Linked DNA regions of Alligator mississippiensis. The protein of the gene in region 2 purifies or fractionates together with the protein of the main gene of each other region. This does not show direct contact. Links are inferred from orthologs where the notes say so. Each region holds a gene or a part of one and is shown on either strand. Other genes may lie near its edges. The genes, in order: TOM1 and ZFYVE16.

Region 1 (14,722 bases), on a different chromosome or scaffold from region 2:
TCTACTTATTGGTCACGTGATGGATCAGTATGCCAGGCCCTGCTTCAGAAGCTGTAATTAGCACATGAGCTGTCCACAGCTCATGCAACATGATCCCCGGGAGCCCAGCCACTGAGCACAACAGCAGCAAGTTTTTAAAAACAGGAGTTGCAAGAGCTGGAATGCAACTGGCCACTGATTATTTCTCACGTAGGGGTCACTGGTGCACACAAACCTGACAGGCTGCTGAACACGGTGAGCTGACAGCATGTCTGCCCTGCAGAAACTTCAGCACCGCTTTATTTTGGCAGCAAGCCCGTGTCCCGGGTGTGGCAATGTTGGGGTTCATCTTACGCTACCAAACGCTGTGAAGCTGGATTGCTTTACAGGCCAGTCAGGTTAGTCCAGATGTCTAAGGCTCTGGCATGCTCCCAACTTGTCCTCTTTAGTCTTTCTACATCAAACGGCAGTCGGTGCCAAGGATGATGTTAACAAAGAATATTCCTTTCAGCTGGAGTTTGGAATGATCCTACTTAATCTGGCTAAGTTATCAAAGCCAGTCCTGTTCTAAAGCTTGGGAGCTAATGCCAGACCTGGGATGAGTGGTACAATGGAGTTGACCCAGTTCATACTATGATAGAATCTGACCTTTCTTCCTTTCCCAGCCTATTGTCTCATCTCCATAGTTGGGGAGGGCTTGTTGACGGATTTATGATGCCATCCAGCCAATCCTGTGGCATACAGTAAAGGTGGCAGGGAAATTGAGGAACTTGAGATAGAAGGCACCAAGCACCCTCTGTGACATCTGCCTCGCCTCCTCACTTTACCCCCACAAAATAAAACCAACCCTGTTTGACACTTATCTTGCTGGGATCCTTTGACCACAGCTGACTTCCTGCCCCTGGGGCAGGGGGCTGGACCCGATGATCTTCCGAGGTCCCTTCCAGCCCTACCGTCTACGAAATCTATGAAATCTGTTCGCATCCCCCTCCAGCCAGTCAGCCTCCAGGAACTTCTCATCTCAGAAACCGTCGGTTAGCAGGTTAGAGTCTACTACCTCCTCCTTACACTTTATCCTGTGATCTAGTCCACGCCCTCTGCCAGCATTCCCTATAGTGCTTTATCCTTGCCAGTTTTGAACAGCTTTGCAAAGTAGCAAGGGCACACTATTCCCGCATGCTTTCCTCTGAGTTTGGAGTGAGCTGCTTTTCATGGAATCACGACTTTGGAGATCCACGAGAAAGCAGCACCAGAGACACAGCACCCGAATCCAAGTTCTTCCCACCTTCTTTTGTACCTTGCAGTCCCTGCCCACACCCTCTCCTCTGGTGGCGGACTGTGGGAGAGGACACACAGGCACAGGCAGGACTCCACAGTTCAGACGTGAGCTGCATAATGGGAAAGGTTTCCATTTTACAGAAAGGGTTGAGGACACAATGCAAGGCTGAGCATCCACAGACACGTTGCTTGAATACAGCAGAGATTTGTCCCTTGCATTTCTGCCTATGGTCTCCTCCCATCAGGCAGTGTAGCTTTTTAGGAAGCACATGTCTCCTCAGACAGCTCCTGCTCTCTGACCTCTCTCCTCAGGGGGTGCGCGTGGAGGTGCGGTCATAAAGGAACTGTTAACACTTATCTCAGCAGCATCAGCATTGAAGTGTCAAGGAGGAAGGGGCAGCTCTCTGCTTCTTCAGCCTTCCCACTCCTGAAACTCCAATCCCACAGAGCCAGGATGAAGGGACTATGAGGTGGTGGGTTAGGGAAATAGTGCATCATCTTCCCTTTTTTCCTTATATTCCTTGCAGGGGCTTAGGCATGTTTTATTTTTATTGGCTCCCTTCTGCACACCACAGCAGTGGGCCCCAAAGCTTCTCTGGCCATTGCCATCCCCTTTCCCTTAGTTTTCCCTGAAAAACAGACTCTTCTCTGCTTCCTCACTTCTATCCCTATTCTCCTTATCCTCTCCATTATCAATAGCAGACCTTTCCTACCCCACCCTCTGCACGGATGTGGTAATTTTCTCTAAGCTCCAAGTGTCAGGGCCCAGGGCTGGACAGTATCAATGATTCCCTACCCCTTACTCTCAGGCTTCTGGGACTTGCAACCCATGGAAAGCTTCCTTCCTTGTATTAATGTGTTTCTCCACAGTAGGATTTCTTGTAGTTATTAGACAGAAGGCAGGGCAGGGTGGCACCTTAGAGACTAACTCGCCTATGGGTGCCAACCAACTTTGTCCAAGAACTACATAGCGTTTGATGGAGAGCCCAGAAATCCTCTCTGACATACAGAAAATCCATACAGTTTATAGTCTGAGTGTTTTTTCTGGGGATTTGGACGTTCTTTTCCTGGGCAAACTTTCATTAGAAAAAAAAAAAAGTTCTAACCAGGTTGACTGGGAAAAGCCTGTGGGATATTACAAGACAGAGGTTGATCCTGTGATTAAATTATAAGATCAGAAGACAAGAGAATCCAGCTCTCAGCAACCAACTCACTCGGAGACACAGGGCAAATCATTAAGTTTCCCATCACCCCTGTTTCTCTGATTGCAAAATAAAGAGGACACTACTATTTTCTGACTTCAAATTTCCTACCTCAAGGGGGACTTGGAACAAAATCTGGAAAGCTGATAAATATTTTCAGATGCAGGCACCCCATGCATGCAAACCATTTGTGTTATAAACTAAAAAATATCTTTCTTCTCAAGGTGTTTTATAACTTTGTAAATCATGGAGACACATTGACACACTTCATTCATGTTGCCCTTTAGGAAATTGCATGATTAGCCTTCAGAGGCTGCAGACAGCCTGAAACCGTGGCTTTAAATTGGTCAAGACTTTGGGGCTCCACTGTGGAGTTGGGGTCTGTATCCAGAGCACTGATCTGCCATGAGACTCTGGGGAAGCCACTCTCTGTGCCTTGGGTCCACTCATCTGTCAGGTGAGGTTAATAATATTTATTCTTGTCACAAGAATTTTGCTAGGCAGAACTCCAAAGAGGGAAAGCACTCCCATGAATGGTTCCTTGCTGTATCCCCATCACTTCTGATAACTCACAACCAGGTGCAGCCCACCTTCTTCCTTACTGTCTACGAGGCTTCCACTCTTGTGGGCTCTCATAACCCTTCTTCTCCATCTGACGCATGCAAGGCACTGCCAACACTGGGCTCTCCTCTCCGATTCTTCCGTTACCAGCCCTGACTACTCTGACCTCTTCCCCTTTGTTGCTGGCGGTCAGCTGCAAACCGTTTTTTCCATCATGAGCAGAGAGAAGCTGCTTACAATCTGGGTACTCTTCTGATCAAAATATCTAGGGGTAGGGAAGGGAGTGGAAACCACCAGCATCTAGAAGCGAGTAAAAAAAGCAAACCAGACCAAATTCCATTCACTCCAGGAAGCAACGGCCATTTACACTAGAAGCATCTGTGAGAACGCTCCTCCACTAAACAGAGCCTGTCTGCATGGATGAAACAAATACAAAAATAAAAATCACACACACCTTTTCATCCCTGAAGGAACATGCCCTTATACGATTAAGCCAAACTGATCCTTTCCCCCCACATTAATGGGTTGCAAGCTGCATGCCCAGCTGCTGCCCATCCTCCCAGTGTCCAGCACTGCTCTATTAATATAGCTTGTGTCATTCTTTGGTCTCTTTGAAATGAGTCGCACTCACAAAAAAATGAATGTGGGGGCAGGGAGAACAACACTTTTGAGGTGTAAAAACATGACAACTGCCTGGGTGCTCAACACTAGCAATATGAGTGCATGCCTGGGGACATGTGCACAGTTCCAAATATGCTTCACAGCACAGACTTCTCCCCCACTGGGAGAGGATGAGACCAAACCTATGACTAATGTTAGTCATGTTGCTACTAGATGGCATTCAGATATTACAGTAATGAGGTCTGAGTAAGAAGCTGATTAGGACAGAACGTCATGGCAAGGCAGGACTAGGAAGCCCACTGGAAACTTTTGGTTGGTTAGGAAGATGGGTAACAGAGGGTTTTGGTCACTGGGGAAAGCCGAGAAGAGAAGAGAAGAGAAGAGAAGAGAAGAGAAGAGAAGAGAGAAAAGGGCTGGTGGGGAACAGCTGTAAAGGAGGAATGTACACAAATGCTCTATGGGGAAAGGAACACAGGTGGTCCATGTGTACAGGAGAGGCTGCCGGTCGACGATTTCTGTGATGAACATGCACTCTGCTTGTCGTTGGTTCAGTTATCCAGTGGCTTCAGACAGTCAATGTCTGCAAGAGGCAATCTGACCCAAAACACTGTGGAACAGAAAGGCTGAGAGAGAGAGAGAGGACCAGCAATCAAGGCAGCTGTCAGAAAGACAAAGTCTCTGAAAACCTAATTCCTATTTCACACACACACACACGATATGTAGAAAGACCATACATAGAGAACCATAGGAGAAAATAGTACCTAACCCCTTTTAAAACTTCCTGGGAGCACCCCGCTCCCTGCCCCGTCTCTCCTACCCTTTTTTGTATTTCAGCTCCAAAACAATTTTCCATTCTTGTCTACAGTTTCTTTGTGCCCCTTCTCTTTAGAGCAGTACCTCCCCGCTCTTCTCTCAGGTTAAATGACTAATATGACGACAGGGAACGTTGTTCTCTAAAGTTGTGCAAGGTCTCGGATTAGGCCCAATCATGCTCCCTCCACGTTTTTGGGCTTAACTGGTAGCTCTGACTCCCTGCCTTACTACAGCCTTCATGGGGCAGGGGATAATGAGGGGTCATCTTCCTAAAAAAACCCAACATGGTGGTAAATCCACCCTGCAATAAAACAAACCCCCAATCCTGCAAAAAGCTGAGGCAGGTGCCTAGCGCTGGTAGCAGAAATCAATCCTGGCCAGAAGCTGTGCAGCGCAGGGCCATGGCATCTGCATTATAACGCTGATCTGTGCCAAACCGATGACACGACGGACACATGTCCAGTCTGGCCCGATTTCCCTGGGTTTTGCAGAAGCTTCCCTGCCTAAGGGGTAACTCTGTGAGGAGCTGCTGGAGGCAGGGGGCACTAGCAGGGGAGACAGCGCTCTGGGGAAGGGTTTCTGTTGCCAGGGCTGGGGGGATACATGGCACTGCTCCAATGCCAGGCAATGGATACGCCACCCACCTCTGCGCCCAGCAGCTGGTTCTGGATCTGCAAGAAGCCAATGCCTTGGGGGTAGCCTAAAACCTAGAAGCAAGAGTGCAGGGCCCTGCTCCATACTGAGAGCGAGGTGCAGCCTGCACCCAAGGGTACCCACCCCACCTCCCTTCCTCCAGGGACACCCCATGCCTCCCCAGCCAATCAGGGAGCAGCTTCTGGCCAAAGAAAGCCAGGGGGAGGGACGGATGTCAAGCAGGCAATTACTGCCCCGCCTGCCCGCAGGGGGCGGGGCTCAGGTCGCGGCACCTTTAATGCGGGAAACTTTCTCCGCCGCCCGCGACCCCCTCGCGTAGGGATTAGCTGGGAGGGCGGCCGCCACGGTTCCACGTCTCTGGCCCCTCCCTATTGGTGGCAGAGCGCCGTCAATCAAAGCACCGTCACTTCCCCATTGGCTGAAGTCGCGTCAACCCCGCCTTAAAGAGGGAGTAAGTCCCACCCCACTCCCCCTACCACGCACCTACTCGGCGGCTAGCGCGGTCACTTTCTGGGGGAGGGGGCGGGGTCGGGGTCGGGCCGGCTAGTGGACGAGTCCAAATGTCAAGGACGTCGTGGGGGGGGGGGGGGCTTGGGGGCCACACTCACCGATGCGCTGCCCCACGGGGGAGCTGAACGGGTTTCCCAGGAGAAACTCCATCGCGGCCGCCGCGCACCTCGGCAGTCAGCTGACCGCCAGCGCCCGTCACGTGAGCGTCGCGGGGTGGAGCTGAGGGCCCGGCCACCTGTGACGTCAGCGGCGGCCGCTTGTGATTGGCTGGAGGGCGAGACCCCGGTTGAGTACGTTCTCCGCTCGCCTTAAGCGGAGTGGTGACGCCACTGCGCCTGCCGTGACGTCACAGGCGCGTGGCACTTCCCGGCTCCCTGTATGGACAGGGAGGGGCCTGATGGGGCGGGGGAGGGGGGACATTTCCTTACGCTCTGCAGGCTCCCTTAGTGGGCCTGGCAACAGATGGCAGCCTGCAGGGGGCGGCCCTGACTGGCTAGCCCAGAGGGCTGGGGGGCATGGTGAGCACCCAATCTCAGGGGGTGCATATGCACCCCTACGCATCCTGCATGGCTAAAAGTGTTCAAAATGTATTTATTTGCACATATCTAGTTGGCCTAATAAAAGATACCACCTCTTCCACGAGTTTTGATTCCTTTTGCCTCTAGACCAATAGGGCTACGACTGGGATACCTGACAAAATGTGCAATAGCTTTTGATGCAGTTAATTGATGCAGCATCTATAAAACGCAAGTCACTCTCCGGTAGGGTTGCCAACCCTCCAGGATTGCTCTGGAGTCCCCAGGAATTGGACACGAATCTCCAGGAGACTGCTGAGAGTCACCCAGGAGATAAATGATAGGGCATTCGTTAAAGTGTTGAATCCAATTTATACAGTGGGATTTTAAAATGTACTAGTCATGTGCATTTGCCTTCCTGATGTAAAATCTACACACTGTAATCCATAACTGACATACACAAGCATGCGGGCAAATGCGTGTTGTGTTGTGGGCATGTTGGTGTTCCAAAAGCCTCCCAGAATAGATCCAAACTGTTGGCAACCCTGCTCTCAGGGAATCTTAACCAACTTCTGGGTTCATGCTCAGCAATTGCTTATGCCTGCTTGCCTCAAAACTTCAATTTTGATGACCCAGTTCTCACTCACTGGGGACTTCCAGTGAGCAATATGAAGTAACTGCAGAACAATTTACAATACATAGACCTGAAACACAAAACAGAGAGAAAAGACTAATCATAGCAATCAATTCAGTTTAACCAGTTGGAGAAAGAGTTAAACAAAATGTCATAGTGTCAAGTGCAGTGCAGGATGCAATGATACCAGTATAAGGCAGGAGTGGGCAAAATGCGGCCCGGGAGCCAGATGTGGCCTGCCAGGCCATTCTATCCAACCCGTGGGGCCCCTAAAAAATTTAGAAAATTAATATTAATCTGCCCTAGGCTGCCTGTCATGCAGCCCTCGATTGCCTGCCAAAACTCAGTAAGTGGCCCTCTGCCCAAAATAACCGCTTGCCCCTGGTATAAGGCAACATGATGTTACTTAGTTGTATACTTAAATTTTTTCAGTGTATGACAGTTTTTCTGAAAATACAATCATTTTGAGCTTCCAATACAATATTTTCATATTTAAGACCTGGTAACACTGTTCCCAGGAGACAGATGGCAGAGAGAAGTAAAGCTGAAAAGGATCTTAAGAGATCATCTAGTCTAGCAGTTTGCAACCCCCAGCACGTGCCAGAGCACAGCACGCAAAGCCATTTTGTTCAGCTGGCCCCAGCTCTGGGCAGGCCTCTACTGTGGAGCCCAAGCTGCTTGCAGAGTCTGGTCCTTGAGCCACAGAGTCAACTACAGTCAGCGCAGGCCTTTCAGCAGCTGAGAGGAGGCTGCAGGCTAGGATTCCTCTCCTCCTTTTCCTTCCCCCACTCCCTCTCTTCCATCGAAACAGACTAGTGCTTGGTTGAGGCTGAGGAGTCAGTTGACAGTCAGCTCCAGTTGACAGTCAGCTGGGGCTCTTGATGTCAGCATCTATTTGCTTAGGGTGTGCCTTCAATGTGTCATCATAGCCTTTTCTCTGGCCACTGGGAAATCTCAGGCAAGAGAGGATATGGCCTTTACACCCCTTCCCACCATGGCCCACATTATTGGTAGTACCATCCCCCACCACCACACCTCCTTAGCAGTACCAGTTGTCACCTCTACTTGCGAATCCTTGGCAGGAAGGGACCAGGGACAAAAAAAACCCTCTCTCTCTAGCAATTCTTCCATAGGAGAAATACTGCAAGTTGCAACAACACCAGTAAGAACTTCCAGAAAATGTGCCCCTTGCTGTAATGTTGCACATGTAATAGGTCTGTTAAGAGCACCAAGGCCATTACCAAGTACCAATCCTCATTTTGACAAAGCTGCCTACTCCAAATGGCAAAGTCCAATTCCACATTGCTTCCATTTGTGCAGATTGTGTTAGCTCACGCTGCAGCCTCTGTAAGATGGACTGAACACTGGTTCTTCTGCCTCTGTGATTAGCCTGGCTTGTTAGCTCTGTTGTGGTCACAATAGTGGGGATAGGGACAGCTGAAAAAGCAATGGAAAAGCTACCATTTTTGCAATGGCGACTGCACTAGCAAGCCTAAGACCCCCACTTCCATGGTTTCAAATAAGCTGATACCATGTCTAAGTAGTAAACAAGCATGTTGCATGAGGTGAGCCTGAAATGGGGCCTGAAAGTCTGTAGTCCTTACAATGAAGAATTCCAGGAAAACTACTGCTTAAATGTGTTGAAATGGTTGTGGGTAGGTGTTTCCTGGTTATAACGTTATTTTCCTTTGAACTTGTGTTGAAATGTCTCCTTACAAAAAGTGCAACTTGAGTTGGTGAGGAATCACATTTTGCATGATCATCATATATTGGGACATTGCTACACAGAAGTTTTGAGCCTATAACTGAGTCTCTCTGCTCTTGAAAATAGGGTGTTTTGAAAGAGTATTACAAGATGTGATCCTGCCATTGCTGAGGGATCCTGAAACACTTGTATCATTTTGCCTGCCATTCACTGAATGGTAAACAAGGAGAGGGGCAGGCAGATAACCTGGTACTAGGGCATTTAAGTGACAACCCTCTGTAGTCATGCAGGTCTTTTACTGAGGCTGCTAAATGGTACAACTCAGTAATCTCCAAGTTGTATTTCAAGCAGCCTTTCATTAGAAATAAGACACTGAAGTACCCAGCCAAGAACCACAGGATGGGTCTAGATTTCAAATACCAGAGACATTTCATTCCATAAAACGAAATGCTAGGACAGCTAGAGTAGTGAGGGAAGTGACAACCAGCAAATTACAAATACCAAGCAAAAAAATAAATGACACAAAACTCCAAATGTTAAAAAAAATTATATTGTAAGTACAGTACAAAAAGTTTCTTTATACAATTGTAATGCAATCTGGATCAAATGGCAGGAAAATAACAAAAATATAAAAACTGCTAGTTCTCAGTCCAAAGTTTTTCCCTCTAGTACCAAATACCACAAGATACAGATTATACAAATGTGTACAAATTTTAAATAAAAATACAATACATTAGGGTTGTGTGTGTGTTTCTAAACTCTTCAAGAGTTTACTGTTATACAGATGGTAAAGCTAAAGCTGATCCCCTTCTGTTCCTTAGATAGAGATCTGCAAATCTTTTTCTTTGATACAATACTCCATCTCTTGTGGAGAGCTGGAAATGGAGCCAAGCATTTTATGCCACTTGCAAGAACCATGGTAAATGTCCAGATCCAGAAGCCAGACAGACTTTCCCATATCTCCAAGCTCCCTCAAATTCTGCTTCAAATTAGCCATATCTGGGTGAGAGATTTCTGCCTTATACTGAGGTTCTGAAAGAGTCCTGTTCCATCCACCAAACCAGCCCTTCTGATAGACAAATAAAAGCAACACTGAACTGGGAAAAGGGGAAGCTCTGCAAGAGACAGTAGCTGGGAAGGAAACTGGCAGGAAGCCCCTTCCAGGCACCTGAAGATTGGCTTTAAAATGAAATAGATTTAGGTCTCAGCAATAATGAGGAACAGCTCATTTTCAGCTGCCCTGGAAAAGAGAGAAAGCACAATTTGTAACAGCACAGAAGTGCTCTGATTCTGCTACTTTAACATCTGTAATGTTATAATGGAGGGCGAGGCCAAAGCCAAAATAAAAGGCTTCCCATTTCAGCTTCCACCCAACATCACTGGACACCCTGTTGGCCACAAGGGCTCAAAGTTTTGTTGGCTGCTATTCCCCCTTGCAGAGCCTAGCTTTGCCATAACAGATGCAGCTTATTCCTGCAGGAACTAGGGATGGGCACAGCTGATTCATATTTTCCACACACTTGGTGGAGGGAAGGACTTTTGTTTTTAAATTATATCTATATACACAGAAATATACAGGATAAATTAAAATCTATTACAGATATTGGTAAAAGTTAAATACACAATATGGACACCACGCACACATACACACAAGCCTATGTGAGAATCAAGTGCTTTCCTGCAACTCACATTGGAGGAGCAGGAGCTTGGAATGCCAACATGTGGCTGTGGGGAGCAGGGATCTGTCCAATGAACCCATCTGTGCCAAACCCAGCAATAACTCCTTCAATCTTTAGCATTAATTACTTCCTCTGGAGAATACAGCAGCACCAAGAGGATTCCATGCCTCTTCATAATACTGCTGGTGAAAGGGATGGGATCAGCAATCTTAGAAACTAAAAGTTTTCTACTCATAAAACCAGTACACGGACAGGGGCAGTGCAAGCTTTTTCCTCCTCTAACTGCTTCTTCCTTGCCAGAGTGGGCTAGCCCTCCTCTGGAGGAATTCAAGGGAGGTTCAATCTTCCATAATCCCAAATTCAATCTTTGGCCCTCTGCTGAGGATGCAATCTTGAGCTAATGGCAATGTAGATGCATGCCCACTGGAAGAGTCCAGACTCCTTGCCATCTCCAGGACTACTTTAATGCAAGCTACCAGCCAATTGACAAGAAAAACTTTCAGTCACTTGTGACTGGCTTGGGGGGATGGGAAAGAAGAGTGGAGAGGAGAGGTGACCAGAGGTGGTAACCTCAGGATTTCAACAGGCATCCTGTTTTCTCTCACAGACTGAAAAAGTGTTAGAAACAGGGCTGGTGATGTGTCAAGTGCTACTGCTTGGTCCAAAATAAACTAGCTTGTCTATCCATCATGGATAAACAGTCAGTTCCCAGGCCAATTCCAAATAAAAGGTTTCTTTGAATTTAAGGCTGATATATCAAAAGCTTTCTGACGTCTAATCACACAAACGCCTTTAGATTGGAGAATGCATTGAGCAGGTCACTCCCACCAAATTGGAAAGGATTCTCTCAGCTTATACTTCACAACTTTTCATAAAATTAATAAAAGTAAAATAGTTACAATCCTATGTATATACTATACAAATATAAAACTTTAAAACCCTACACACGGAGCCCTTAGAGTGCCGGTATAACGTGTATGTACACAGGTCAGTTACACAGAGGTGTGTACATCCCAGGGTCCTCTTCTGTCAAAGTCCAGGCATGATGTAGGCGATGTTGTCGAGTGTGTTTGACTGGGAAGAGAACATGTAATATTCTTTTTAAAAATGGGCTCTGACTCAAAAAGCTACAGAAACAAGGCTTTAATATAACACAATAGACTGGAGAAATCCCCGCCTTGTCATACAAGCTCCTACATGACGAGACCAACCCAAGTCAGAAGTCACCAGCACTCTAGGCCAGGGGTTCCCAACCCCCGGGTCGCAACCTGGTGCTGGGCCATGAAGGGTCGGCTGCCAGTCTGCAGGTGGGCTGGCTGCCAGACTGGAAGTGACTACAGACCAGCAAACTGCCGACTGGACATGACCTGCATACTGTGGCCTGGCAGCCAACCCTTTTTTATACTGTATTCAGTACAGTATTCAGTATAAAAAAGGGTTGGCTGCCTGCCTGCAGTATGCTGGTCACTTATGGTTCACAGTTTGCTGGTCCTCAGCATAAAAAGGTTGGGAACCCCTGCTCTAGGCTAACCAGCAGCCATGGAAATACTCTGTCTACTGCTCAGTCTGCTTGCAATCTCAATGCCTGGGAGCACAACAGGGGCATCTAGAATTAAGGGAACACTTCCTGTTGTTCTTAACTGCCTCTCTTACCCTATGTAACTGGTCCTAGAACTAGTGTGAAGAAACTCAGAAGAAATCCATATCCAAACCATATTATCCAGAGGGAAAACAGCGATAAGGGATCCAATTAAGGTGATGGAAGGGATACCAACGAAGTCCCAAACGCACATACAAAACCTTTGCTAGAATTTGCAATGTGTTAAGCTAAACAGAACAAGTAAACCACCATAATCCGTTTCAGATGTAAGGTGGGAGAGAGAGTTTCTCTGTGTTCCTAGAGTTTCCATACAAATCAGGTGGAAGTTTGAAGGACAATACAGTCCCCTGTGCCTCAGTGAAGACCATACAACTAAGGTCTGATTCCTGGTGTGCTGCACTCCCAAAGTTCATACTCAAAGACAGAGGAAATGGATTCTTTGCCAGTTTCTTGATTGATCCTACAATTTAGCAGCACCACCTATTAACTGAAAAGGTAAACTGCACCACAAGCACAGACACATCTAGCCTGCTTTGGGGACAAGAGAGTTACAGATGTAGATGAATTCTTGATATTAAAATTAGTCTGCTAATATCAGAGAAGTTCTCCAAGCTCCAGAAGTGAAAAATTAGCACTACCTCATCTAACACTCCCTAACTCTTTACAGAAATAAGAGGATCAAGCTGTCAAGTCATACACTGCATTAATGATGCTAGAAGGGTGTCAGAGCTCATAATGCTTTGGGCAAGGGAAAGCAGTACAAGAAAAAATGCCCAGTAGTAAAGTAGTCATAACTTGAGCAGGCAGGAGTACTCAGGTGACTCAGTTTATTAGAAGATATGCCAATAGCCAGCATGGGACTTCATGGCAGAACCTTTGTAAAACATGCCTGTTCATGTCACATCCACTGCTTTCTTCACATTTGTATTGCTATTCTTTTCTCTTGAATCAGACATGATTTCCCTTTGCTTTGTTCTACACATTTTGCTTCTTGTGACTTCATTTTTCATTCTTCTTTCAGTCCTCCTTTTTATTCATGTCTCCTCCTAATGTGGTCTTTTAAATCGCCCTGTCTGCTAATGTAATATGTTCTGTTTTTTCACTTGGATTCACACTATACCGGAGCTGCAGGATGTCTGTTCCCAAATGAGGGTTCAATAGCAAATGTGTTTCCGGCATGCAGGAGAGAACATGCAGCTAGCACCCGGCTATAGATGGACAAGAAAAGGTTTATCTTTGAAGGTGTTCAGTGCCACCCCTCACTGTTAGGAGCCATGTGCTTAATTGCAGTCACATGAACAATGCACACATGACCAAAAAAATTTAACAGGTGGGTGTATAGACCAGCTGTAGGGCCTGTAAATTCTTATTGCAAACTTGCATTAAAATGTCTAGTATGCATAGTTGCTTTATCTGCTTGAGATTGAGAGTTTCAGTCACTCAGAAATAGAAGCTACAGCTACTGTAATAAATGGATTAAAAAAAGACCAGCTTCCCTTGAATGGTTAGCATTTCCACAGCTTTCACTGAAAACTCATTAGGCAATGCCTTCTCAGAGAATTCTCTCATACATCCCACCCACAATAATAGTGCCCTAGCATGAAGTTTTCTGCACTGGAGACTCAGTGTCACAAAGCTCTGCCAATCAGAATTTTAACTCTCTTCCCATAAAAATAAGTAAGTCTAGAACCAAAATAAGAATCACATGGAACTCACCAAAACTTGCTTGGGGCAGCCATTCAGCTCAGGCAGTTGTGTGGTCAAACATGTTAAAGGGCCCAGAGCACAGATAATAGAATCTAAAAGCACTGACAAACTTCCTGAAACAGCCACCATCCCCTGGAAAGAATAAAGGAGGATCAAACTGAATGGAAAAGAACAGCAGAGATTAAATCTCACCACCCCATAACCTCTTCTCTTGCAAATATTAAGGACTTGCTCCTGAACTTCTCTAATCTACCTATTCTATTTGTGTAGTTACTACCTCATGCCAAGCATTTCATACATGTTTTTGAAGTTGTCTTGAAATTGGATACATTTGGATAATTGTTTTCCATCACCTAGTATGGTAATACATATTTAAACCTCAAACAAAACATGAAATGTCCTGGAAAACGCTGTCTCCCTGAACTCAAGGAATTAAGACTGTAGCTAGGGCTGCACTAATGTAAGGGATTTCTGGGTGGAGAATTACTTTTGCGCAGCTTCCTGTGAAAGAAGAGCCTTTGATTGTTAGAACAGAGCGAACAGCTCCCTTGCAGTAAAATCTCAATTGTCATCACTAGAAAAAAAAAAGGAGTTCATGCGCATTTGTTTTATTGGCAATAAAAGCATGTGGTATGCAGGACCGTGGGATGAGAGGATACTGCCACCTATTCAGCCCACTGAAGCTTTGAAACACAGAAGACTACATGTTAAAAAAGGCAATGAGAAAGATAACGTTGTCTGAACATGTCCTTAGAAAGCTGAAGGTGTTTGGCCTGAGTGCTGGCAGCAATAGCTTGGGTCTGCCAGCAACGAAAGTGTTACCAGATGTTTGGTGCCTGCTGGGTTCCAGGAAAAAGAACTTACTATATCCTTTGTTAATAAACAGGGACACAACAAAGAAACAGCTGACTCCATCTGTAATTTCTTTATACTAGAAGAACTTTGGCTAACTTGGGCTAACATGGGACACCTCTCCCCTGCTTCTATAATGGCACCTGTACTCACCTCTGTCTCCTGCAGCCTGTGTCCAATGAGGCTCAGAGATTCACCCAGCAATTGTAGATGTGCAGCTACATCAATGGGTTCCGTCTCAGGGACTTTGGCTGGTGAAGAGGATAATACCACAGTACTGGAGGGCGACTTCTTATGGGGTGAAAGTACTCCTGTCGGAGAAGCTGAAAACAGATAGATACAAAAAAACCCTGGGTTTTTTTCTCTCCCTTCCTTATAACAAGTCTATTGAGGATGCAAGCTCTTTAGAGTC
Region 2 (15,406 bases):
ATAAGGAAGACTGGTCTCAAGTTGAAGCAAGGAAAGTTTAGGTTAGATATTAGTAAAAACCTCTTACTAGGAGGCTAGTAGAGTACTGGAACAGGTTACCCAGAGAGGCTGTGGACTCTCTGTCCTTGAAGGTTTTTAAGATCCAGGTAGATAAAGCTTTGGCAGGGATGGTCTTGCTTTGAGAAGGGGCTTGGATTAGGTGACCTACTGAGGTCCCTTCCAACCTTGATTTTCTATGATCCTACATGGAAAAATATGACATGCTGGGGAAGAGTCAGCATGGGTTTTGTAAAGGGAAATCCTGCCTCACCAAACCATTCAAGTTATTTGAGGATGTTAACAAGTATGTGGACAAGGGGGATCCAGGTGACACAATATATTTGGATTTTTCAAAACTTTCAACAAGATCCCTCACTGAAAGCTTGTAGAGGCAGATAGTACAGTCAGATTCAAAGGGACTCAATAAATTCATAGATGACAGATCCATTAATAGATAGTAAACAAAAGAGTAAGGGGGCTATGACAGGGATAAGATCACTCTAGATAGAACCTGTTCATGTGTACTCCCCTCTAAAGTATCCCCTACCTACCTCAGTTAGAGACAAGATACTGGGCTAGATGAAGCATTGGTCTGGCCCATTATGACACTTACATTCTTATACCATCAATAACTATGCTCCCACTTCAGAAAAACGACCTTAAAAAGTTTATTGGCTGAAATCTTGGAAGTTACGCAAAAGCAAAAGATGAAATGCCTACTAATAGTAAAAAAAAACCCACTTCTTCCACAGCTTATGGGTCAATTACAAGAACAGTACTCTGTGAAAGTTTGTTTTTAAAAGATCAGTCCACAATGGGAAGTGTGCTCAGTCAAGCATAAGTACAGAGGAGCAGTTAGCTGCATTAGACTGAAGTCAGGCAGAAGACGGGACAAGAGTAGCACCTTACAGATTTTACTGGATCACTGAGGTATAAGGTTCCTGAAGATCAAGACTGCCTTCTATGAAACCTTATAACTCTCTGAGCCACTTATGTCTCTAATATACTATCTGCCCCAAATTCAGTCAAGCAGTTACAGCAGGCAGCTCTGAAAACCACTGAACTCATGCTTAATGAGAAGCAAGGATCTGTAAAAGAGACAGCTTTAAATTCCCAGCAGTGGGGTGCAGTACACCACTTGGCTATGATATAACATCTGCATTTGCCCAAGGCCCAATACAACAAGGCCCTGATCCTGGACCCCAACATATCAACAGTTAACAATCAGATAATGCTTTGCCATCAGCTGTTTTTTCTGCCTGGATGTATAGCAAAGTGTAACTTCAAGAAGTGGATAAATACACATAAATCTTGCTCACAATGACTTAGCGCTTAGTTGTCTTTAGCTAGCAATTAACCAGAGAGAAGCAAGTATTTTACTGAGAAGAAAGGGGGTAGGGGTGGGAAACTGACCCCAAGGATTTCTGTGCAATTGTTATCAAGAGCTTTCTTTCAGTTATCAATCCATTAAATTTTGTAAATGGGAGTGCCCAGCATAGGCAAATGAACAAGAAGAATGCTGCTCGTTAATGTGTTACAGGAAAACTTACTACAAGTGTGTATCACCTTTCCAAGTCATCATTTGATCTACTTTAAAACAAACCTATCATAAAACTTTAGACTGTCTCAAAGTTTTTACATAATTTATTAATTTAGAACTGGCTCTTCGTTTACTAACTTACTCAAGTGTTTTTGTAGCAAAGAAAAAAAAATCATCAAGCAACATTTAATTTCAAAGTCAGCTAGTACTATACAATGACCAGGAAGTAAGTGAAGATACAATAGTTTGTACAAAGTATTTCATAGAAAAAAGTTTAAGTTGGCCTTTAGATGGTATAAATCACTTAACAGAGTTTAGCACAATTTGAAAAGATGATCAAGTGACTTTTTCCCTTCAACCAAGATAAGAATCAAAAAAAGCTCAAAAAGTAGAAAGTTGTAGTGTGTACAATAAAGTGAGCCTCAGTCAAGTCATGTGACAAAGCTAAGCATCAAGAAACTCCTCCTGAAACAAGATTTTACATTTCAAAAAACAAAAAGGCTGTATAAAGAAATAAAAGCAAACATTTTGCTAAAGTTCAAGCTTTCGTTTGAGGAAACATTATCAGCATGTACTGTGCATACAGGACTGCAGCCACCATTTATATGCTATAAATTGTCCTATACGTTAATTTGAAAGAGCTACAGCAACTTTAAGTTCTAAATGATTTTATTTTTTGAAGTAGATGGGCAGAGGTAGCAATCCAGAGTTTCGAGAAGAGCCTTTCAAGGATTCCATAGCATATCCAGGATTTGAGCCATGTTTTCAAAAGTGCTTTGGCAAGCAGGAAAAAATATCTGGTGTTGTCTGCAGTATATTGCATGGAAAACGCATGTGTCCATACCCCAACCACAGCATACCATTACTACCGACACGACTTCAAACAACACAACAAAGAGAACTCCAACTGTAAAGTTGTATCTGAGATAAAGGCCAGTCATCCTTGCTTGGCCCACTTATTTTACCAGAAAAATTTTCTGAGGTGTAAGGACATATTAAACAGGTTTCCTTCACTCCCAGTAGTTTAGACTTTTCACAGGATTAGGGTACCAAGAGAGCCATGCAATGGGGAAGAAGTCCTGATCCTCAAGGGAAACTTACACAACACTTCCCAGAGACGAGCCTATGAGCTCCATTTCATCAACCTGCTGGATACTAGAGATCATGGACTAAAACATGGACATTGGATTTTTGATACATTATAATCTGCCTGGCAACTGACACCCCAGCCCAGTCCCTGGCTTCTTTACTTGTCATTCCATCCATGAAGAGCACACACCAACTGCTGAAACTTCCTTAGCCTGACGAAGGGTTTTTGAACCCGAAAGCTTGCTTAATAACTATTCTCCAACTATTTGGGTTGGTCTAATAAAAGATATCAAATTCACCCAAGGAACCTTGTCTGCCTATGTCCTTAGACCAACACAGCTACAACCTAAACCCCTGCAACATGGAAGATATTGAATTCAGCCGTCTGAAATGGAAACTGTACAACATGAAAAAGAAAGAAGACAAACTCAACAGCGATATATATTTTCTAAGCCTTTGCAAGAAACACAACTTCATTCCGTGAGGACAAAACATCTACAATCCCCTGACTACTATACACAACTCCAAATATGCTTCACAGCTATGCAAAAGAACTTCAGAGAAAATTAGGAATCATCTACTTCATCTACTCTACTCCAGAAGAGACCAACTCAGGAAGGAAATCACCATATACTACAACAACTTAAAAGACAGAAATCCATGCATGTTCCCTGACAATATACAGTGGATACGAAGAGACTACAAAAAACTTTCTACAGCATTCATCCTACATAAAAAGAAGAAATGGAACAAATTACTCCAAGAACAAGCTCCCCAGCCACAAAACAACCAGAGGAACAACACCAACACCTTACAACATTCCAACCTCAGACTCAATGAAACTGAAAGCAGCAACCCACCCACAAATATTATCAATCTCTCCACACACACGCTTACCAAAATTGAAATATCTGTCCTTTCTAAAGGCCTAAATTTCTGTCCAGAAAAATACCCTAATAAAATACTTCAATGTGGAGAACTAGAATTCTTCCGACACCTGCGACTCAAAGAATATTTCCACAACCAAACTGAACCCACTCCCAACAACAACTCATCCTCTGACAACATTCAGGAAAGGATCAATGTCAAAAAGCCCCAAAAAAACATCAGATTGGAAACCTCGCAGTGGACGAAACCCTAACCTTGACCGCTACATTGACTGCTTCAGGGAAAGAATGAACAATGAAATAATCAGCAACACACGTCACCACAACAACCTCTCTCTACCAGAGAAAAAGGCCATAGAATCTCTAAGATCTAACCACCAAATAGTAATAAAACCAGCAGATAAAGGAGGAGCCATAGTCATCCTAAACTGTGAGGATTACATAAAGGAAGCCAACAGACAGCTCTCTGACACCACTTAGTACAAAGAACTACAAGAAGATCCTACTCCCCTTTTCACCAAAAAACTCAACAATACCATCAGATCATTTCCATCAAGACTACAAGAAAAACTACAGACCTTGATCCCCCCACTACCTAACCCGGGGACTTTTTACATGCTCCCTAAAATCCACAAACAAGGGAACCCTGGCAGACCTATCATATCCAACCATGGGACCTTAACTGAGGAAATATTAGGTTTCGTTGAATCAATCCTAAAACCGCCCGTCACCCACAGAGTAAGCTTTGTACAAGACACTACAGACTTTCTACGGAAACTTAAAAACATAGGCCACCTTCCCAGCAACACACTCCTAGCCACCATGGACGTTACCAGCCTATATACCAACATCTTACACCAGGATGGCATCCAAGCCTGCCTTACATATCTACAGGAACAAGATTACAACTCAGAATACAGACCCAAAGATATTACTGACCTTATACACTTCATCCTCACACACAATAATTTCACTTTTAATAATCAACACTTCCTTCAGATGATGGGAACAGCTATGGGCACTAAAATGGCCCCACAGTATGCCAACCTTTTTATGAGCCACCTGGAAGAAGACTTCCTCAAGAACTGCACCATCAAACCCTTGCTATACTTAAGATGCATCAATGACATCTTCATCATTTGGACTGAAAACCTGCAATCTCCGATTGAGTTCCCTCAGAAATTCAACAATTACCATCCCTCCATCCGACTTTCTTTAGAATACTCCAGCACCAACATCTCCTTTTTAGACACAATGATCAGTATCCAGAAGGGTAAAATACAGACCACAGTATACAAGAAACCCACAGACCAACATACATATCTGCAAAGAACCAGCAATCACCCTAAACGCACCAAAAAAGCTGTGATATACAGCCAAGCCCTCAGATACCACCGCATTTGCACTGAAGAGAACACCCGGGATTGCCACCTCACCAATCTTAAAAAGGCTTTCACCCAGCAAGGACACTCCTCCAGAGAGGTAGATCGCACGTTTGAAAGAGCCACCTGGATACCATGTGAAGAACGGCTGCAGTACAGAAGAAACCCCCCCCCAAATCGCACACCACTGCTTATGACATATCACCCCTCCCTTGAACCTGTATGGAAAATCCTCAAACAACTGCAACCCATACTAGACAGAGACCCTATTCTTAAAAAGATCTTCCCAGAGCCACCCATCCTAGCCTTCAAACAAGCACTGAGCCTCGCCAACCTCATCACCAGAAGCAAACTTCCTCAAGCCCAGAACACACCAAAAGGATCCAGACTGTGCCATGATAGGAAATGCAAAACCTGCCAACACATCTCCACCACCCCCACTATTACTACACCCCACAACAGAGCCATCAGCATCCCTGCATCTTACAGCTGCACCTCCAGAAATGTAATATACCTCATCCAATGCACCCAGTGCCCTGATGGAAAATATGTAGGAGAGACCAAACAACAACTCCACACCAGAAGGAACGCACACCGGAAATCTATCAAAGACGGAAATACCCAATTACCGGTGGGGGCACATTTCTCACAGGAGGGCCACTCTCTCTCCAATCTCTCAGTCCTGATCCTCAAGGGAAACTTACACAACACTTCCCAGAGACGAGCCTATGAGCTCCATTTCATCAACCTCCTGGGTACTAGAGATCATGGACTAAATATAGACATTGGATTTTTGATACATTACAATCTGCCTGGCAACTGACTCCCCAGCCCAGCCCCTGGCTTCTTTACTTGTCATTTCATCCAGGAAGAGCACACACCAACTGCTGGAACTTCCTTAGCCTGACAAAGGGTTTTTGAACCCGAAAGCTTGCTTAATAACTATTCTCCAACTATTTGGGTTGGTCTAATAAAAGATATCAAATTCACCCAAGGAACCTTGTCTGAATGACAGATGATGGGTTTTCAATGCTACCATTCCAGGGCAACAGTGGCACAGCTGCACCATCAATAGCCAGCCCAGCATGCACAGAATCCATCTGACGGACAGAACAATTAAGCCTTTTAGACCTCACTCTCATATTCCTCTTTGCATCAGTCTGTATTACTCAGCCTTGGAAAACAAGTCACAGGAGAACGATTACTTAAACAATTTTGAGAGCTAACCGACTCCTTATGCTAGGGCAGACAAGCATTTCCTTGCAATTGCAGGGGCCCATCTCTCACGATCTGCAGGAGGATGGAGTCCCATCTTACCAGATTCACACTAGAAAACTTGCAAGCGACCCAAGCCTCGGGGCAACGGTAACACGCTGTCCAAGCCCTGTTCAGCTGCAGTAACTGCTCTTCCAGAAGAAGGTGCTGGCGAGTGGCATCTTGGCACTAGCTCCAAGGCAGGGCACCCCAGGGAAGGCCTTCCTATGCTCATTGCCAAGGGACTCCTGCAGAGGATGCAGGGCACCAAACAAGCTCACAAGAGCTCAGGCAGGGGGAGCAGAGCCCAGCTCTTCGCCTGCTGCACTTGAAGGAGCAAACTGAGATGGAGCCCACGCCCACACCCACCCAGGTCGACAACAGGCATCGCCCAGGGCCCCAGGGACGACCCAGCCCCTCTCTGCAGGGCCCCCCCAGGCTAAGCCCCGTCACCGCTAGGTCCCTCCTGCCCTCCCGCGGCCCCCTCTAGGGGCGAGACACGGCCGGAGCGCAGGGACGGTCGCCCGCCCAGGAGGCGAGGAGCCCGGGGCCCCGCGAAGGCGGCCGGCAGCACCCACGGCCCCGTGCCAGAAGCAGCCGAGCCTTCCTACCTCTGCTCCGCTCAGCCCGACGCGGCTCGCAAGGCCTAGCCTGGCTCGGCCCGGCCGGTTGTTTGCGTTCCCGGGGCTGGGGGGGGGGCGGGGCGCGAGAGCGGGGCGGAGCTCCCCGCACGCATGCGTCGTCCCGACGCTCCTCGGCAGACAGGGACCTCTCGACTGCTCAGCCGTGGCAGCCCCGAGACGGGAGGGGGCGGGGCGTGAGGCGGGCTCCTCCCCCAGCCGCCCTCGGGCCCGGAGGGGTGGGTGCGCTGCTCTCACTGCGGGGCGGGGCGGGGCGCGGCGCCGCTGGCGCCGCCTTAGGTCGCAGCTCAGGGGCTCCGGCCGCGGCTCCAAACGTTCGTGTCGTACCGGCGGCAACACGCGCGGGCTGGGGCTTGCCCCTGCCCCTCCAGGCGGGCTGACGCCTTACTGACTGGGCATTTTCCACCCCCTGCGCTGAAGTGACATCTTAAGCCCCCTCTCTACGTCTTGCATGCATGATGCAATTAAGTGGCTCATTCAACAAAGCAATTATCAAGCCATCAAAAGTTATAAAGTTACAGCTGGAAAATATGCAATACAGGCAGTCCTCGGACTTAAGGACACAATGGGATCCTGAAACGTGCACGTTAACTCAAACCTTGCAACTGGGAACCTTTTTTTCCATAGGAAACAATATTATGGATGAGTAACACAGCTACATTAATGTATTTATATTGTAAATAGGAATCCTAGTGATTTGGAAGGACTGGGTTGAGGTGACTTTGCTGGACTTTTTGAAGGGCTCTTGGCTGGAGCCTCCTCAGGAGTCTTGGCTGCTTTCTTAAAGAAAGTGTCCAAGGAAGTTTGGACAGAAGTCTTCCAGGGACACGGGTGACACCGCAAACTTGTTCGTTGGTGTGGCATCGCATCAGATCAAGCATTGTGAAGTTGAAACTGATGTCAGAAAGTTGAAACAAGTGTCAATTTATAAATGTTGTAAGTGCGAAACATTGTAACAAAACATAAGTTGAGGTCTGCCTGTACATTTATAGCTGGTTACTACATGGTTTAATTTGCACGTCAGGGTCTGAGGCTGCGAGTCTCATCAGCTGACAGGGCAGCCCTCAGCTGCCTAGTGTAGTGGTTCTCAATCTTTTTTGTACCAAGACCCCTTTGCAAACATGGGTGGCCAGTCCCAACTTTGTGCCCTCACTTCCTACCCGCTGCCCCAACCCCCCAGTGTGTAGGGCTGGGGGCCCCTACGCAGCCCCTCACACCCTGAAGTTCTGCCAGCCTGCAAGGGGAAACCCACAGTTTCCCCATGTTTTTCTCCTTTAAAGGAGAATCCATTTTAAAAGCTTGTTTGCTACCCTTTCATATATTACTATGACCCAGTTTGGGGTCATGACCCATGGGTTGAGAAACACTGACCAAGGGCACCAGGTGCCGCACAGATGGGAGTCCTGCCATGACCTGAGCCCTGACTGAGCACGACTGCACCAGCATTAAGGCGATAGGATCCAATGCTGGACCCCACAATCACACTTCCTGCCGCACCCAATTTAGAATAATGGCAAGAAAAAAAGATGAAACTAAAACAAAAACATGTGCAAGAGGGACAGCATCACAAGGGAAGAGTAGAATGAACAGCATAGCAGGAGGCATGATTGTGTGCATTGCACATCAGAACCTATCATGCCTTGACCTGAACAACAAGGGGCCCTTAGATCAGCATACTTATGTTTTTATAGCACTTCTTACGACCAAAGCAAAACTCCCGATTTCAGCTGTAGCTGGAAAAGCAGTCTCAGGGGGGACCAGAAGGGTTTAGGGGAGACCTTGTTTCCCCTAGCGCCCCCCAGGATAACAAGGAATCTATGAATAACGGCCACAAGTTGTTGGAGAGTAGGTTTAGATTAGACATCCGTAAGAACTACTTCCCAGTTAGGGTGGCTAGGATCTGGAACCAACTTCCAAGGGAAGTGGTGCTGGCTCCTACCCTGGGGGTCTTTAAGAAGTGGCTTGATGTCTACCTGGCTGGGGTCAATTGAGCCCAGTTTTCCTCCTGCCCAGGCAGGGGGTCAGACCTGAAGATCTACAAGGTCCCTTCCAACCCTACTTCCATGATTCTAGCAATCACTTCTCAGAGTCTCAAGATAGGCAGCTACAAAAAGTTAAAAAAAAAAATTTGCGGATAGTCCCTTTCCCCACTTTGCTCGTCCAGTTAGAGGCAGTTTCCCATAAATTTACCATAACAGACAGAGGACAGAGACAGTCTACCATGCTGGTTTTAAATCAAAGAACAGGGGCATCCCTCCTAATGATTCAGTTAAAAAATGACACTAAAAATCATCATCTTACAAGCTTGTTACAACATGAGCATATTTTCTTATTTTTAAAGCCCTTTAGGTAGGAACTGAGCTAGTCATAGAATCATGGAATAAAATTAGGGTTGGAAGGGACCTCAGGAGGTCATCTAGTCCAACCCCCTGCTCAAAGCAGGACCAGCCCCAACTGTATCTTCCTAGCCAATTCTTTGTCTACCTGGGCTGGGATGATCTAGTTGAGGATGGCCCTTCTTTGGGCCATCCACAGGGAGCTGGATTAGATGAGGTTCCTTCCAACTCCAGTTTTCTCTGATTCTATGATTAGCTCAGTTTCTTCAAGAATAAGAAAATATGCTCACATCATTAAAAGAAATTGAATGCCATCCGGTTGCAGCCTATGCTCTTGTGGAGCCTAAATCTGTACATTTAGAATGAATTTGTTCCGAGATCTTCTTTACAATGATCCAAGGCCAGAGCTACACTTGCACAACTAACAATGTCATTATGATTTATGGTATACTTTTATATCAGCATACAACTTTGAAGAGAGATTTTTAAAAAGAAAAAAGCAAGCTCCAAGAGGCAGGGATTGTACAATTTCAAGGGACAGAGAACAAGAAAGAAGACAAGATCATAGAGGCTTGTGAGAAAGACACCAATAAGCATACAGAATTAAATCTTGGAAAGGCTTATTGCCATAGAAACCAAATCAAACACACCAAACAGAAATAACTGTATTTTAAATTGTGCTGTCTTGAATATTGTTATTTCCTTTCAAATTAGATTTATAAAACCATCATATCACAGATCAATCTCAGGCTAAATAGGGTGATCCCTACCCCAAGAAGCTTCCGACTTGGAATATGGCAAGAAAAGAGATGGAATTAAACAAAGAGATGTACAAGAGGGACAGAAGCACAAGGGAAGAATAGAATTAATACATCCAAAGTATACACCAGTCTCCAGATTCAATGAAGGAAAAAGCTAGGGATGCACTGATAAAAGATTTTCTTGGCCAATGAGCCAGGAGAACAGCCAGGCACCGTGAAGAGCAGCTCCCTGCAGGTAAGTCTGTGGAGGGAAAGGAGTGTAGGGGAGGGAAGGGGTCTGGTGGGGGGAGATTGAGACCCCCACAATGAGGAAGGGAGTGGGGTAGAGACAAGGGCTGGGGGTGCCCATCCAGGGTGGTGAATGGGACCTGGGGCCTGGGTGGGGGAGTGGGACAAAGCAGCAGGCAGCTTGTCCAGGGGATCAGCGTCTGGGTGCTTAAAAATGGCAGTGGGGACACTTGAACTAAAGCTTGTCAAATGAGCTTTAGTTCAAGCGCTGCCACTACCATTTTTTAAGTGTGGCGACTTTTTAGGAGCAGAGCAGATCCAAGCGGGGCAAGGGCAGAGGCGGGTTGCCTACTGTGGGCTTGAGGCTCTCCACCCTGCTGCCTTTGGCCCAGAAGCCACGCAGGAGGTCTCCTGCCCACCTGGCAGCAAGAGGGACAACTCACCGCCACCACTGCTGCCAGATGGACAGGGGACACGTAGCCAGCGCACGGCTCCCAAGACAAAGGTAGCAGGGTAGAGAGCCCCAAGTCTGCAGTGGGCAACCCACCTCCAACCCATGCACAAATCCAGGGGGGCACATGCCCCCCATGCCTCCCTTGGGGGCTACGCACAGTGGCACGGAACTGTCCCTCTCTCTCACCCTCCGTGCCCTCTGGACAAATATTATTTCCTTAAATATTATTTCCTTTCAAATTAAATATTATTTCCTTTCAAAAGCTGTGCCCGCCCACAGCTCCATCCTGCTCCCTACCCTGGTTCCAGGGTCCCAATTCACTGCCCTGACTGGGTAGTGCCCCCAGCCCCTGCCCCACTCCCTCTGTCATCATGGGGGCCTCGATCTGCCCCTCCATCCCACGTGCCCCCACAGACTTGCCTGCAGGGTGCTGCTCTCCACACTGCCTAGCTGCACTCCTGGCCACATACATGCTGTGGCTGCGCACATGCATGTGGCATCTGGGAGACCTGGCCAGAAGGCATATTAGATTTAATTGGTGACGTTATAGACCACACTGGCCAAAAAAAGCTGATAGTTGATAAAGTTAAAGACACCAAAAATGAACAAAGCTGCTCCCTTTTTGAGGCTGGCATGCCTCCTTCCATTGTTACATCATACATTAGAGCAGATGGTGTTTGAATGGTAAGAATTCCCATTGCTGTCCATTCATTCCATCACGAGCAAGACTGACATCAGTACCATATGCAATAGCTTCTTCCATGTTGTCCATTTAAGATTATCATACTCAGAGATCAAAATAGATATATCTTTTTTGTTTTTTACTTTATAGTAGTTTTCAGCTAAGCCTTGGAAAAGAAGATGCATGTACATTCCCTTCCTTCCACTATTCCCTTAATTAAGCAAAGGGAAAGGTTGAACAGTACTGGTTTTATACCTTTAAATATACTACCCCAAGGAAAGCCACAGGTACAAATGAGGTTTCTTTTTCTACACTTATTGCCACAGCTATATTCATGACATGCTGAACTTCATTTGCAAACCTCACATCTGCTCCTTCAATAAATAAGCTTGAACATACTGACATTTCCCCCCCTCAGATAAATGGCAGGACTCCATGTATTCTGGTGTCATGGCCACATAATTTGCTGGAAAATCCAATCTGTTATTTGGAATTACAACCCAGCAGTTAAACATCCATTAAAAATAGTCTTTACCATGAAGATAATCTTCCAAACAGGGTCTAAATGTAAACCAATACCTGTTGCTAAGAGCCTACCCATCATCAATGTCTCCAATTTACCTCAAGGGAATATTAATCCAGAAACAGCATTTATTATCAGATATACTAAGGAAGCTGCAACTTGGAAGTAGAGCTCAAGTAATTTTGCCTTTGAGAACTATTTCCTGAGAGGGGAGGATCAAAACCTACTGTTCAAAGTTTTGTATAACTAATGGACTGTCATTAGCAGATTGTTCTTATTTATTATGGATGCATATTATGAATACATGCTAATGATGGATGCATGTATTCCTGGAACCATTTTTAGGAACACATTAGTTGGAGGGAAGGGGCAGTCAGAGAACATAATCTGACAGTACAGAATCAAAAGTTGGGGAAAGTGGGTGCAAAAAATTTGAGTTGATAAACTGGCCATTCAAAAAAAGACAAAAAAAATGAACAAAGCTCAAAATAAAACTTAAAACATTTTATAACCCCGCTTTAGGAGGTACTGAGCAACTCAATCTTCCACTGATGTCCACATAATACCTTTGAAATGTAGGCCACTACTGTGCAAGGACACTCTCTCACACATGCATATATTGCTCATCCTGCTACAACAGTAGCAGTCTGGTTTAACAAAGAATTTCATTTTCAAAACTAAAAATAAGATTTTTTTTTTTGTAAAGTTCACAATTATATGTAATAACCATTAAGATGCTGAAACAAATACAAAAAGCTAAGAAAGATGGATGCTGCCTTCCACGTTTTGACTAGCAACAATATGAAGTTGAGAAGAAATAATTTCACCAGACTGATCTAACAAGAAATTGTATAATTTAAGATGCTTGTGTCATGGGAATCTGTTCTTAAGAATTACCAAAGTTTACTGGAATTTATTATAGAACTGGAATAAAAGAGCTGCTTAGCATAGTCACAGATACATAAAACTGTATTGCCAAATAGGATTTCACAAGTCTGGAAATATACGTAGTCTAACAGAAATAAACATTTTAAATAATTCAAGTTCAATTTATAAAAAATATCAATAGTACCTTGGTTTCAAACAAGCTTCTGACCAGAGATTTGGTTAGCTGTGTTAGTCTGAAGTCAGGCAGGGGACACCTTAAAGAGTAACTAGTTCAGAAAGGCATGAACTTTCATGGGCACCAACCTAGTTCATCAGATGCTAACCTGATGACTGGCAAGAAGTTTCTGATTAAGCTCTATTATTTGTTGCTTGTAAGGTGGTAGTACCCAGAGCTCCTAATCAAAGTGTAGGACCATGCTGTACCACTGACTTTGAGGGGAATAGGATAGGGTCCAGCAACATCATCTCATTTGTGACGAAATTCAGTGTCTCTAAAACAATGTTTAACAGCACGAGCCAACAATAGTACACGCACAGGTGTCTTGCACAGGTATGTTAACTTTTCTAAGGGGCTGCAATAAACTATTAAGTATGTTTCACTAAAAGAGAACCTTAAGCATGTTTTGGACTTAACAGATATTAAGTTGGTCCCCAGCTATACTACCCCATTGTGCTTGAATTTGGTCAGGTTCTTAATATAGTTAGGCCTAAATCACACTTCTAATTAACAGCAGAATTCTTAAGACTTCAAGGAAACACATTTGGTTTTCACACTGGTCTTCCAGCACCATTAAATACTAATCCTGAGCTTCCCTTTAGCAGAAACTACTATTCATTCCATATTTCCATTGCTTAGACACACAAAATCTAAAAAGTTACTTGGTTCTCTTTAATAGTCGCTGTGTGCCATATACATCCTCAGTTGCATCAGAATAGGTCTGGATACAAAGGACTGAATACTAGTCAGTAAATAAACAGTTCTGCAAATTTTTCTGGTTTTCCAACTTTTTAACTAGTCAAGTATTAATCCGTAAGTAAAACACTATGAATAGCAGTAATTGTTAAACAAATGATTCTGCCACGTTGCCTGGAATTCAACAAGTTATATATTGAAATAGAGGTTTTTATGTGACTAACATGATCCAAATGCATCAAGGATTCATAACATCCAAAGGCATTATAAATATACTAAATATTAGGAGTAAACAATTAAATGTTTTCGGGTTTTTTCAGTCAATGAGAAAAATCAGTTGGGAATTGGAAGGTTATTTTCCAGGAAGTCTAATTTTAAAGCAGCTTTTAGACTGTGTGTAAACAGTTCCTGTTTAACTATAGGCTCAGGAAATTAATCTCTCATAATGTAAATATGTGTTTAACTCACTCATAATACAACACAATCTCTGAAACTACAAAGCTATATACTGGAATTTCAAATCTGAAAACCTCTTTCCAGAGGAGCTGTGTTGTACATATAGTATTCTGAAATACATGTACTATTATAGTTCATTAACTGACATTAGCAGCTATAACACGATGTGGCTCTTGATTTTCCACACATTTTGGAGTCACTGTTGGACCAGGATTTTGGCAACACAAATGCACAAAATCAGTTGACTCTTGGGATTTTCTAGTTCTGTATTGACAATATAGACATTTTGATTCTTTCCCAATCCTGATATAACTTCTTAGCATATATAACACGCGATTAAGAATGAAAAAGGGTAAAAACAACAACTTCCATTAATTCATAGACCAAGTGTGCCATAAATGTCTGATCCTGACCTTTCATTTTAACAGGGACAGAGGCCACAAACAATCTATAGCGTTATACAGTATGAAAACAGCATCAGAAGAGCTTTAAAACTTTAAAGCAGCATACTTCTTTAACCTGAGCATTGAAATAATTGCATATATGTAGCTTATAAAACAGATTTTCCTGGGATTTTGATTACAAATGTAACATTTACATGTTTGGCACTTCCTGGATAACATCCAGCTTCTGCAGGTTTCCTTATCCCTTGGCATTACCAAACATTTTTCTTTTACTTTTACTTTTTAAATTCCAAGTGTATTTAAGATGTAGAGTCGACATCTGTAGTTCTACCCATTTTGTGTGCATCATTTTCTTTACAACACATGGTCCCAGGGGGCCAGGAATATGATTTTCTAAGTGATTTCAATGAATTTTTAAATACTTTTGTATTGTAAGTTGAGCAAGTGCTGTTCTGAGAACCGGGATTTTGGCAACAAGAATTTGCACAATGAGATGATTCTTGGGATTCTGTGGTGCTGTATTGACAGTTCTTCTGAGTTATGCTCTCTCCTGAAAGATTATTTTCTTTACTTTGCTTTGAAGTTTCCTCTTTTAATTCCATTGCACGGGCCAGCATGTAACTAACCTTCCTCTGATGAGCCAAAGCTTCCTCTTTATCATTCAGCTATGTGAAAATTTAAAAAAGAAAAATGAAAACAAGTTTATAAATTAAGAACAAAACACTGCATGTATATCAACAGTATTTACATTCATTTAAGGAGAGCAATGCCAAGGCCCAATATGCCCCTTGAATGCTCTTCATGATACTAACCAAATCTACTAACACCCGAAGTGCTTCATGAGGATTATGCAATTCTTCTATTTTCCTACAGTCTGCATCAGAAATGAGCATGCCTGCTAATTTTTGTCCCAGACTTTTCTTGTTCCC

The links.
Region 1: the proteins of ZFYVE16 (region 2) and TOM1 purify together in Homo sapiens (affinity purification with western blotting; 3 studies listed by BioGRID and IntAct, with this or other methods). This does not show direct contact. The link is inferred for Alligator mississippiensis from reciprocal best matches to the Homo sapiens genes ZFYVE16 and TOM1.

The regions. Positions count from the first base shown.
Region 1 is NC_081827.1:101,666,817-101,681,538, forward strand, and holds the start of TOM1 (target of Myb1 membrane trafficking protein), read right to left. Parts: upstream 5,827-14,722; 5' UTR 5,769-5,826; coding exon 5,717-5,768; intron 1-5,716. Other genes in the region: HMGXB4 (HMG domain-containing protein 4), read right to left, coding at 11,181-11,225, 13,468-13,590, 14,464-14,633.
Region 2 is NC_081826.1:251,063,746-251,079,151, forward strand, and holds the start of ZFYVE16 (zinc finger FYVE domain-containing protein 16), read right to left. Parts: upstream 6,906-15,406; 5' UTR 6,803-6,905; intron 1-6,802. Other genes in the region: CCDC125 (coiled-coil domain-containing protein 125), read right to left, coding at 14,777-15,142, 15,290-15,406.